Drosophila melanogaster: one gene and its partners. The protein of the gene in region 1 interacts with the protein of each later gene in a pairwise test. Each region holds a gene or a part of one and is shown in the gene's direction. Other genes may lie near its edges. The genes, in order: CG30089, CG11134 and mus101.

Evidence for each region.
Region 2: the proteins of CG30089 (region 1) and CG11134 interact in a two-hybrid assay, tested with the Drosophila melanogaster proteins (one large-scale study listed by BioGRID).
Region 3: the proteins of CG30089 (region 1) and mus101 interact in a two-hybrid assay, tested with the Drosophila melanogaster proteins (one large-scale study listed by BioGRID).

The regions. Positions count from the first base shown.
Region 1 is NT_033778.4:15,725,379-15,729,131, forward strand, and holds the start of CG30089 (uncharacterized protein), read left to right. Parts: upstream 1-2,002; 5' UTR 2,003-2,548; intron 2,549-3,753.
Region 2 is NC_004354.4:13,735,821-13,739,573, forward strand, and holds CG11134 (uncharacterized protein), read left to right. Parts: upstream 1-2,121; 5' UTR 2,122-2,168; intron 2,169-2,318; exon of another isoform or gene 2,319-2,353; 5' UTR 2,354-2,428; coding exon 2,429-2,556; intron 2,557-2,619; coding exon 2,620-3,090; intron 3,091-3,165; coding exon 3,166-3,250; 3' UTR 3,251-3,357; downstream 3,358-3,753. Other genes in the region: g (garnet), read right to left, coding at 122-220; Grip91 (Gamma-tubulin ring protein 91), read right to left, coding at 1,282-1,986. UniProt on the Drosophila melanogaster protein: Catalyzes the dehydration of methylthioribulose-1-phosphate (MTRu-1-P) into 2,3-diketo-5-methylthiopentyl-1-phosphate (DK-MTP-1-P).
Region 3 is NC_004354.4:13,720,433-13,724,185, forward strand, and holds the start of mus101 (mutagen-sensitive 101), read left to right. Parts: upstream 1-1,813; 5' UTR 1,814-1,921; coding exon 1,922-3,753. Other genes in the region: Mrgn1 (mahogunin ring finger 1), read right to left, coding at 1-1,244.

The DNA.
Region 1 (3,753 bases):
AAGCAGGCGAAATCGCTTAAACCGAAGATTTTTTGCCACTGCCTCTGGTGGCTGAAAAGGGGGGCGGGGATATTGGGGTTGGATCGGCGAAAGGGGATTGGAGTTGTCCTGGCGATGCGTCTGCCGGCTGCAGGCCCTACTCCCCCACCACTGCCCTTCGACCTGCGCATATGTCATAAATGGGGTCTGGGTCCTTCGGCTCACTTGCAAGGGCAGGGTTGTAAAAGCGAAATGGAAGTGGTTAAGGGCACTGCCCTATGAAGGGGTAACACCCATCTACAATATATTCCTTTCCTTTGCTAAGAAACCTATTTGATCTTATATTTAAAACATTTTTGTTTGCTGCATATGCTGATTAAAGTTCCATGATGATTTAATCAAGTCATATGGGAGATGTAAGAAAATTTCCCTTCTTTAAAGTTTGTATGTTGCACGTTGTTTTCATTAAAATATATATAATAAATAAGTTAACTGAAAGTGTGTTTTATGGACGCTTTTACCCCAAATTCCTTGTTTATTCTTTTATCGGTCTTTCCGTGGCAAGTGCGATGCAATTGTGAGGCAGTTATAGATACGGATATCTGTCTAAGCACACGTACGCGTGTGGCTGTGTGCGTGGGCGGTTGAAAGTGCGTGTGTGTGGTTGTGTGCGTGTTTTGGGGAGGCATTCGTGCGTGTTTGTTTGGCCGCCGCATACGCTTAGGTCTTTCTATTGAAATTATTTCCATCGATGTGTTTCATGTGGCGGGCGGGGGGTTAAATTGTTTTGAAGCACGCATAAATTATGGAAAATTGTTGAATATACATAATTTATGGCTGGCAATATCAGAGTAATTCAATAAAAGGTCTGGGCTAAATTATTTATGTTCCAGCTTGATCCCGATCGAGAACCTCAAAAAAGCCCATCTTTGGGGTTTTCCAGCCAAAAAGAGACATAACAAAAATCATAAATTTGTAGCTTTAGCCGGCAGTGGCAATAATTCAATTGGAAAGTCAATAATTTATTTTCTGACCAGAGTGTCGAGAGTGAAATTAAATCTAAATTTCAATTGCCTTAACTTTGGGAATAACTCATCGATTTGTTTGTTTTCGCTGTGCTCCATTGTGGTTTTACTATCCAGCCCGTTTCCCTGCCCCTTCGGTTTTGCCGTCCCGCATTTTCCTTTTTCCATATCGGATCCCGGAGGCTGCTCACGCCTGGGCCATAAAACTTTTATATCAACTTATGTACACTTACAACGGCCATTATAACGCATTAAACATAAACGCTGTTTCATGGACCTTCCCGCTACCTCCCCTCCCTTCAGCTATCTAATTGCCAATGCCGGCAACTCACACACACTTTGGGCTTCGGACTTTGGACTCTGGACTATGGACTCTGGACTCCGACGGCCATGGCCTTCGGAAAAGCTAAGGGGGCGGTAATAAATCATTGGCGATGACTGCTGCAGCAACCTCATTGAACATTAAAATAATTGCAAAGCACAACTTGGCCAATGATTGCGCCCTGCGAGTTCATTAATGATAATTAAAAAACTTTGTCCATCAGCAGCCGGCGAAAGGCGGCTGTTCATTAGATGGATGGAGGCTGTGTCAAAGCTGTGTCGGCAATCGGTTTTAGCCCGGCTTACTAGCCTAACTAACGCTTCCGGAACAGCTGGTTGCAGGCCTTTAGGCCAAATGCAATTGCATCTCCACTTCGATTGCAGAAGTCATATTTCACGGGCCCAAAAGTAGGCAACATCCAATTGGGGCCCGATTCCCACAAGTCCTTCCGCCTCCTTCTCCAGCTGCTTTCTGCCAAATGTAAACAAACATTTTCCACACACATTTCGGTTGGTAGCGGATGCGGGACGATTTTCCTGGAAGTGAAATGCACGTGCAGATTAACAGAGCGCGGAAAAGCGTGCGCAGACTCACCAAAAAATGGCAGAGAGCGCGTGTTGAGTTTTCCAAGCCCGAGCCAAGTTAGCATTGAAAAGCCATTGTTCAGTTTCCCAGCCAGTCAGTTCGTTCGCGTTTTCCGTCGCAAAAGCCTGTGCAGTGTTTTTCCGGTCTTCAACGGGACAATTCCCAAAAGTCGTAAGAAGTGAGAAATAGCTGCGGCTTCTAAAAGTGTTTGAGAACATTAAAAGAGTTTACGAGCAGCCCAAAAACTTTGGACTCGAAAGTGATTTGTGAAACACGTTAACTAAATAAAATCACTAGCATTGAATAGTGCCAAAAGATACATATCGGAGTTTTGTTTACCTCTGGCACTACGACACTGAATGGCTTTGACATTGGCGGCACATTTGCATCCGGGCAGGTGTAAATATTCATTTCTGTAGCTGGCAAAGTTGCTGCCTGCTTTTAGCATAATTAAGCGCATCACAACGCCCCCGTCGCCGCCGCCCCTGACATTCGCAAAGGACTCGAGGTGGACAAAAAAAAACTTGGCCAGAGCCTTGAAACTTTGAAGAGCAGCCGCCAGTCAAAGCAGCTTTAAGGTCCTGTTTTGTATTTGCCCCTCACAACGGTAGGATCCGAAGGGCAGGCGAACTGCATGGTAAGTGGAGAGCACCTTTCGCTGCAGCCCTTCTTTGTTTTGACCAAGTTAGCAGCTTGTTTTTAGTTCGTTAATTGAAGCCCTAGGAGAAGTAGGAAAAACTTAAATTGAATACCGCACTTAATTATGCAGTGCACGGGCCTTGGGAATTCATCTCTTCAGTGCGGATTATTGGGGCATGCCTCAGAAGTCAATCCGCAGCACTGATACTCCAGCTTTCCCTAACAAATCTCCCAACTACAAAAGTAATCTCTCTATCACAATTTCTCTGTTCCTTGCCTCGCTTCAAAATCGAAACGAAACTTGAATGGCTTAAGTGATTTAGCAACTCGATCGCATTCGTTTGCGCATTTCGATGCCAGAGCAGTGAGAAAAAATAGTACAGAATTAAAAGCAAAATTAAATTAAAGCATGAAATAATATTTTACTAAATTTAGTTTGTTTTGAGCAACCTGTCTGCTGGTTTTGTGTCAATGCAATTTTAAAATGATTGAAACATACAACGATTTGAAATACGTAATACTGTGTTTTCTGAACTATTAAGTAAACCAATCTATATGTGTTAGTGCTCTTTATTAATGTAAACTTTCATCATATAAAATAAAAGTATTAAGGCCACTTTTAAAGTTTACTTTTATTTCCTTAAATACTATTTTTCCCACAGTGCATTAACTGACACGATTTTTTCCTATATCGAATACGGGTCGGGATGCGTTGCCTACTTTCGGGCACTGGGAAAAACTTTTTAAGTGCCAAAGCAAAAGGCGCCGAATGCCGAATTAAATTAAAAATGGGAAGGCACAAGAAGTGGAATATCGGCTCGTGTGCAAATAACAGAGAAGGGAACCCGGCTTCAAATTCAATTTGAGGAGTATACTCTCCGCTTTCCCTTTCCTTTGCCACCATCCCCTCCGCTCGATCCCTAAGAACTCCTGCCCCGCCAACAATAGTTAAGCGGAAATGTAAGTCCCTGGGGGCACAGGCATCACGGAGCCTTGGAAGTGTGTCAAAGTACGTAAAGCTGAGACGAAGGAATCAATCGAATCGAATTGGATGGATTCGCAAGGAAGTGGCGGCGAAGGCGTAGCGAAAACCAAACAGCCACGGGCCATAAAAATGGGCCAAAATGAGCGGGTGAGACGTCAAAAGAAATTGAAATGGAACTCAAGCAAAAACTACTTTGTTTGCGATTAGCACTTGGCCGG
Region 2 (3,753 bases), on another chromosome or scaffold:
ACGAAATTTGTCAGCCAATTAGCGAGTTCTAATTGGACGCACAGCTGGGCCGCTTGGGGGGGGCGTGGCAGTTGGAGGACAGCTGTTTTGGTGGGCGGTGGAGGCGGGGCTGCACGCTTACCTCATTATCCTTGTTGTTCCTAATGCCGCGCACCAAATCGGTGAGGTTTTTATCAAACATACGCTCGAAAAAGTTACCCTTCACTTTTTTCAGTGCCATGTTTGCAGTTGCTGTTGTTTTTGTTTTTCTTTTTGCTGCACTCCGTGGCGTTACTTTGATTTGCAATCGGTGTCTCGATTGGGAAATTGGGCTATTTTGGCGAAGCGATTTCAGCACATCACCGGCGGCAGCACAAAGCACTCACTTCCGTCTTTTTCCGATTTGTTTTCGTTTTTTTTTTAACTTTAATACGCTCGCAAACTAGAGGTGGTACGCAAATTTGTGTTTAATCGATACTATCGATGTTTGCTGCACGTTGGTGGTTGGCTACGCTGAATAGTAGGTGGCTGCACTCGCTAGCGGTGAAATGTTAACCGCTTCGTGGACTGTCGATAACTCGCTGCGCATTCGATTACAAAACCGTTTTGAGATCAGAAAGTTTGAGTGAGAGTGAGAAGGAAATAATATAAATAACTGAATATTTCGGCTTTCTTTTTATACGCATTTACAATAATTGAATAAATAACTATTACACTCTTATAACCCAAATTTTTGTAATTTATAATAATTAAATAGAGACGGAAACTTTCAATGCAAGTTGCGTTTATTTCGAGCTCGCATTACGGTTTAAAACTGTTCAAAACATTAACTTTTTTAAAACATTCTTTTAAAGTACGTAACATTCTCTTATTCTCTTTAATTACAACATGGCAATTGGCAAATGCACTTACGAAAATCTATTTCAACTAAGCTTCGATGTAAAAAAAATTATGGGATTCGCAAACAAAATAGAACGTTGCGTTTTTCGACAAACAAATTGTCGCTTAATACTTTCGTTACAACTACTCAATAATTTTGTATTGGAGATATCTTAAGTTGATGGCTTGCAGCCAGGCGATTGACGGCAAAGCTTGAGATATATATGTATAGAGGTTGTTTTCGATTCGAAGGCTTAGTTAATAATTGGATTAGTTTGTTTGGTTGGATTGGCTCCAATGATATCGAGATATCTCAAATATTTAGCAGCAATTGAACTGAATGGAGTGCTGATGCTGTATGGGATTTGGGATTTGGTATGATGTATGGACACTGGGATAAACCGATTGCATGGACATTGGTCGCTATTCCTGAGTGGACGGCGTACATATCACGAAGCGACTGTTCACGGCGAACACATTGCTCATGCGCATGTGCTCGAAGGTCAGGGGTTTGCTCAAATTGGTGTCCCTCTTCTTGTAGTACTCGTTGAAGTCCAGCCGAGTGCCAAAGAGCTGCAAATTCGGATCGTCGCTAGAGTTGAGAGACATTAGGAAAGTGCTGACAGCCTTTTCGTAATCGGTTGCTATGACTTCTAAGCCGCGGCAGGCGATGTCCATCTTTTCGGCAAATATCTTCGCCTCCTGGTCGCGCTGCAGGATCATCTTGTTGGTCAGTCCGTAGACACCCTTCTTTTCCGATTTCTCCACAATTTTGGACAGTTCCTTGCGGGCATTTAGCTCCTTAAAGCAGTCCTTGTAAAAGCTCGACTGCCACTTCTCCAATTCGATAATGTTCTCGTACACCACCTCCAGCGAATGCTCCACACTCGCTTTGTTGCTGACAAAACAGCCCACCAAAATCGTTTGCAGAAACTTCTCGTGAGCTTCCAGGATTTCGTCCAACGTAGTAGCCTTCTGCATCTTCTTCTGTAGCTCCACCCAGTTGCACTCGATGACCTCAAATAGCACATAGTACTGCATTTGGTGGATAAAGTGCATGATCTCGGAAGTGAAAAGGTTGAGGCGGTGTGACGCCTTGCCGATTTCGGACTTCATTGTACGAAGGGCCTGAAAAGATGTTTAATAAACAATATAATTCCAAAGGTGAGCCACATAAAAACAAAAAAGTTTATAATAAGACTTACAGAATAGGACTACTCAAGAAAATTGAAAAAAGTTCAAATGTAGCAAGCTTATTATATTTATACTTGTAAAAAACGTTTTCAACAGCGCTATGAAACATTTTTGAGGTAATACGGTGATAATAATATCTTGTTCTCTTAATGAACTATTGCACATTATTCAATTTTCAAAAAACCATTTCTAATTGGACAATGTTTATCGTAACGGCAACGCTGTGTGTTAACAGCGATACACCGATTGCAATCGTCTATCGACGGCAGCATTGTTTACATTCGTGATTTGTCGCTTTCAGAATCCCTTTATCTCCCGTTATCAGTGTCGCACGGCGACGAAGATTACGTCCCACGAAAGTCACATTGTCAGCGAGATGGCCCTCTCGATCTTCAAAGACTTGCCGGCGGAGCATCCTCGCCACTTGATTCCCTCGCTATGCAGGCAATTCTATCATTTGGGATGGGTGACCGGCACAGGAGGTGGCATGAGCATTAAGTACAAGTGAGTACAAGTGATACTATACATCTATCCAGACAGCCATATAAGCCGGTTAATCCGTTTCAGCGATGAGATCTACATAGCACCGTCGGGCGTCCAGAAGGAGCGAATGCAGCCGGAGGATCTCTTCGTGCAGGATATAACCGGCAAGGATCTGCAACTGCCGCCTGAGATCAAGGGCCTGAAGAAGAGCCAATGTACGCCGCTCTTTATGCTGGCCTATCAGCATCGGCAGGCGGGAGCCGTCATCCACACCCATTCGCAGCACGCCGTAATGGCCACGCTCCTGTGGCCAGGGAAAACCTTCCGCTGCACCCACTTGGAGATGATCAAGGGCGTCTACGATGAGGCGGACAAGCGATATTTGCGCTACGACGAGGAGCTCGTCGTACCGATCATCGAGAACACACCCTTTGAACGCGACCTGGCCGACAGTATGTACGCCGCCATGATGGAGTATCCGGGCTGCAGTGCGATCCTGGTTCGACGACACGGCGTCTACGTTTGGGGACAGAACTGGGAGAAGGCCAAAACCATGTGGGTTGCCTCACTTATTCTCAGACACCGAGCACTTTTATAGACCTAATCGTTTATCTCTCTTTTTACAACCAGGTCGGAATGCTATGACTATCTCTTCTCCATTGCCGTGGAAATGAAGAAGGCCGGAATCGATCCGGAAAAGTTCGAGAGCTCATAAGGAAGTGAAGCTGATACGAACGCACATTCTACTTGTCGTTTAACCCTATAAATTGATGCATTTACTAACTGAAATCCATTGGTCAATGCAAAATAATAGTACTGAATAATGCTTGCGTTTTATGAATCGAATCACGATATATGGCATTTGGGGGGTTAAAAATATTTTCTCAATGGGCTCGTTAGGTGACATATTTTGTCGAAATAATCTGAAGAGTCTTCAAGCCTTATCGCCGTTTTATGGGCATTTCAAACTGGGTGCGCACTTTGCACTAAATCGTGGACAACAGCTGATAACCGCTGTTACGGCTTCATGTTAGGCGTTTCATGTTAATGTTAAAGTCTAAACTCCACACCTGTAACAGTGGGCTAACAAGCGGTGAAAACCAAATGATATCGATACAGTTATTTACTTTTTCATTCTGATATCATCAAATATCAGAATTTCAATTCAGCTTAATGAAAGAAATATCGCATAAACGATATAAATAAAAGCTATATCTG
Region 3 (3,753 bases), on another chromosome or scaffold:
TACTGTGGCGGTCCGTTGAGTGCCTCAATTAGTGAGACTGGAATATAGCCTGGCGGAACATCCACTGGCGCCGGCTCCCCGGCCGCCGATGTGGGCGTGTTCTGGTGCAGTACATGCGTGCTAATTCCCTTCTGGACAGCACGGATCTGAAGCAACGCCCGAAACGGAGCGCGACAAATGGGACAATTGTTGGCCTGATAGCGCAGCGAATCCGCGCATGAATTGCACAAACAGAGATGGCGGCAGGGCAGGATGAGCGTATCCCTCGTCTCACTCATGCAAATAACACACTCGCTGCCATGATCGTCGATCTCCTCGTCCAGAGACGTTTTGTTCACGGCCTTGTTCTCGATGCCATAGATCTCCTGTAGCAGGTAGCACAAGCCATCCACAAAGATCTTTTGCTTCAATGCACGCAGCACATAGCTGCCGTTTTCCGGATGATGATCGATCACACAGATGGTGGTGTGCGATTGCCGACACTCGTCGCTGCCCTCCTCCACCACACAGTGAATGGCCACGGGATACTGTTCACGGCCGGGACTATAGCCCAGTTCATCCTCGGGCATCTGCTGCGGATTGAAGACATGGCTCGGCTGCGAGAAGCACTGATTGATGCCCTTCTCGTAGTGGTACGTCTCCGAGGTGAGACCCTCGCGCGGCACCAGTGTCACGCCGCTGGGACTGACATCCTCCGAGCAGAAATAGTAAATGGTAATGGCGCACTTGGCGTCCGAGTCAAAGGTAAACTCGATGTTGTAAGAGCAGGGCGGCGGTGGGGGCGTCATATCGGCATCACCGCCACCCAAACCCATCGAGCAGAGCACATTTCCATCCACATCCTCGATGGTCACGTTGGACTTCTCCTTGTCCAGATCCAAGTCCCGATCAATCTCCTTCATCTTGGGCTTCTCGAGTACACCGCCCAGCTTCTTGTCGTTCATCGTCTTGACGAAACGCACCGACTCCTTGCGAATGTTGACCAGACTCTTCAGGGTCTTCGTCGGTTCATTGGCCTGCGGCGGGGGATACGGAAAGGCTGTGGGTCGATTGCCCAGGAAATTGAGATCCGCATTCTCGCCAAACAAGTACGATTCCGGTTGGGGCGTGTCGAAGCGCTCGCCGCCCATGATGAAGTGGGTGCCAAAGAAGTTACCCATTCTCGGTGGATACTTGTAGGCATTGTTCGTGCTCGGATCGGCCTCCTCCACCGCCGCGTTCTGTCTGCTCACAAAGTTGCCCATTTGATAGGTTGGTGCTATGGAAAACTGTGACACAGATCCAATATAGCTCTTGGCCTACGTTTTCTCTTCGCTTTGGTTTAGTTTATTATTCTATTTCAGTTGGTCACCACCACACATACAATGGCATGTTGGCATTTCACTTGTTCGGCGGAAAATGGCCGCTGTGTGTGTGTGAGTGTGCGAAAGCTGTGGTCGCCTTCAAGTGTTGGATCCTGTGTCCACAAAACTAGCAATAGTACAAGTTGGTCAATGTCTTGATTATTTCTGATTTGCCTTTCCTTTCTTCTTTCTTCCTTTCTTTTAGGGCTGAGCTGCCGTCGACGACGTGGATATCGATATTTCGCTTAATGAAATATATCGATAGCTTAAACCAAAACTGATAAATAACTGCTTATTTTCGAAATATTTTATTTATTTGATAAAAAGTAAATAAAAAATCCTTACATCTTAGAGATAAATAATTAAAATTACCCATACACATTATTTTTTAATTCGCCGTCGGCGTTGCCACATAGCTCAACTCGTAGTTGCCAACTAATCACAAGCCAGCGTTGCCAACGGTTTGAAGGCAATAACAAACGGCGCCAAAATAGCGTACGCGAAAAAAAGTGCAGTGCGAAAATCACGGCAATTTTGCAGCGCATCACGGAGCAGAGAACACACTCGCAACCGCCATCATGAGCATAAGCATGAGCATGGACGAGACCATCTGCGCGTACTTCGTGAACAATCTGAAGCCGGGCGACGGTGGCGTCCAGGAGGCCGACACACTGCAGCAATTCGAGGCGGCGCGGGAGCTACTGGGCCAACAGTTGGCGGAAACGCAGATCCGGCAAATAAAGCCAAGCGAAGGATATCCCCTGATCGCAGCCGGTAACCTTACCAAGAAGGACGTCTTTGTGCTGACCCAGTTCGAGGGCGAATTCTTCGAGCAATTGCAGCAGACGCGAGCACTAATTCTGGGGCCACCGTGCCTCATCACCTGCCTGCGGCGCAATGAACCCATTCCCGAGGGCAGCAGTGCCATCTACAGCACGGCCATGCGGGATCTGCAGGTCTCGGCCACGGGCATAACACCACAGAAGAAAGAGGAATTGAGCAGGCTCATAAACTGGATGGGCGGCATATACTTTCAAAGCTTCGGGCATCGCACCACCCACCTCATTTCGAACACCATCAAGTCCAGCAAGTACGAGCAGGCAACGCTGAACGGAGTACCCGTAATGCACGTCGACTGGGTGCAGTACGTCTGGGATCAGAGTCGTCGCAGCCAGCGCGAGGGCATCATGGCCACGGATCCTGATTTCGATAAGTATCGCCTGCCCATTTTCTTTGGTGCGAATATCACGTGCAGTGGATTGGATGTGGCGCGCAAGGATCAAGTTATGCGGCTGGTCAACGATAATGGAGGCATCTATCATCGTGCCTTTCGCTCCCAGGTGGTGGACATCGTCATCACCGAGCAAACAAAAACGGACACCGAGAAGTATAAGGCAGCCATACGCTACAAGAAGGATGTCTTGCTGCCGGAATGGATCTTCGATAGCTGCAATCGCGGCTACGCTCTGCCCACAAAGGACTATGAGGTGCGGCCTGGCAAGACGTCGTCCACACCCACCAAGACCACTCGTCCGGGCGCAGCTCCCGGTGCAGATCAAACGCACCTCTCGGATCTCTCACGTATCAGCTTCGTCTCCGGCTCGCGTCGCATGTGCAGCGATCTTAGTACCGTCAACGAATCCGTCAGCAGTGTGGGCAGCAGTTCGCCCGCCAAGCAGCTGCTCAAGCAGGCGACTAGCAGTGGCCGCAACTACCAGCAGGTGCTGGCCGAGATTGAACCGCGTCAGGCGAAAAAAGCGGGCGCCTTTCTGGATGGCTGCTGTGTGTATTTGAGTGGCTTCCGCTCAGAGGAGCGTGAGAAGCTAAACAGAGTGCTGAATACGGGCGGAGCGACCCGCTACGATGAGGCCAATGAGGGCATCTCACACATCATTGTGGGCCAACTGGATGACGCCGAATACCGACAGTGGCAGCGCGATGGTCTCATGGGTTCAGTTCATGTGGTGCGCCTAGATTGGCTGCTGGAGAGCATTCGAGCTGGTCGCGTGGTCAGTGAGTTGGTGCATCGTGTGTCGATGCCACAGAATCGAGAACCAGACGTTGCCTCTCCTGCCAGCAAGCGAACACTGCGCTCCATGAACCACAGCTTCAAGCAGCCAACATTGCCCATCAAGAAGAAGCTTTTCGATCAGGAACCGGATCCCGTGCAGGAACAGGAGCACGAGGAGCCGGATCATACGCTGCTGGATCAGTACTCACAGGATCAAGGAGCAGTGGCACAACTGCCACCGGCAGATGTTAGTCTCCTTCAACCAGCGGCAAGTTCCACCCAAATGGATATACGCCAGCGAGTCTCGGTAGCCAATCCAAAACCACCCGCTGAGGGTTTGCAATTGCCGGATCTCAGTGCCAGCACTCTATCCATTGATTTCGATAAGCTGGACTACTT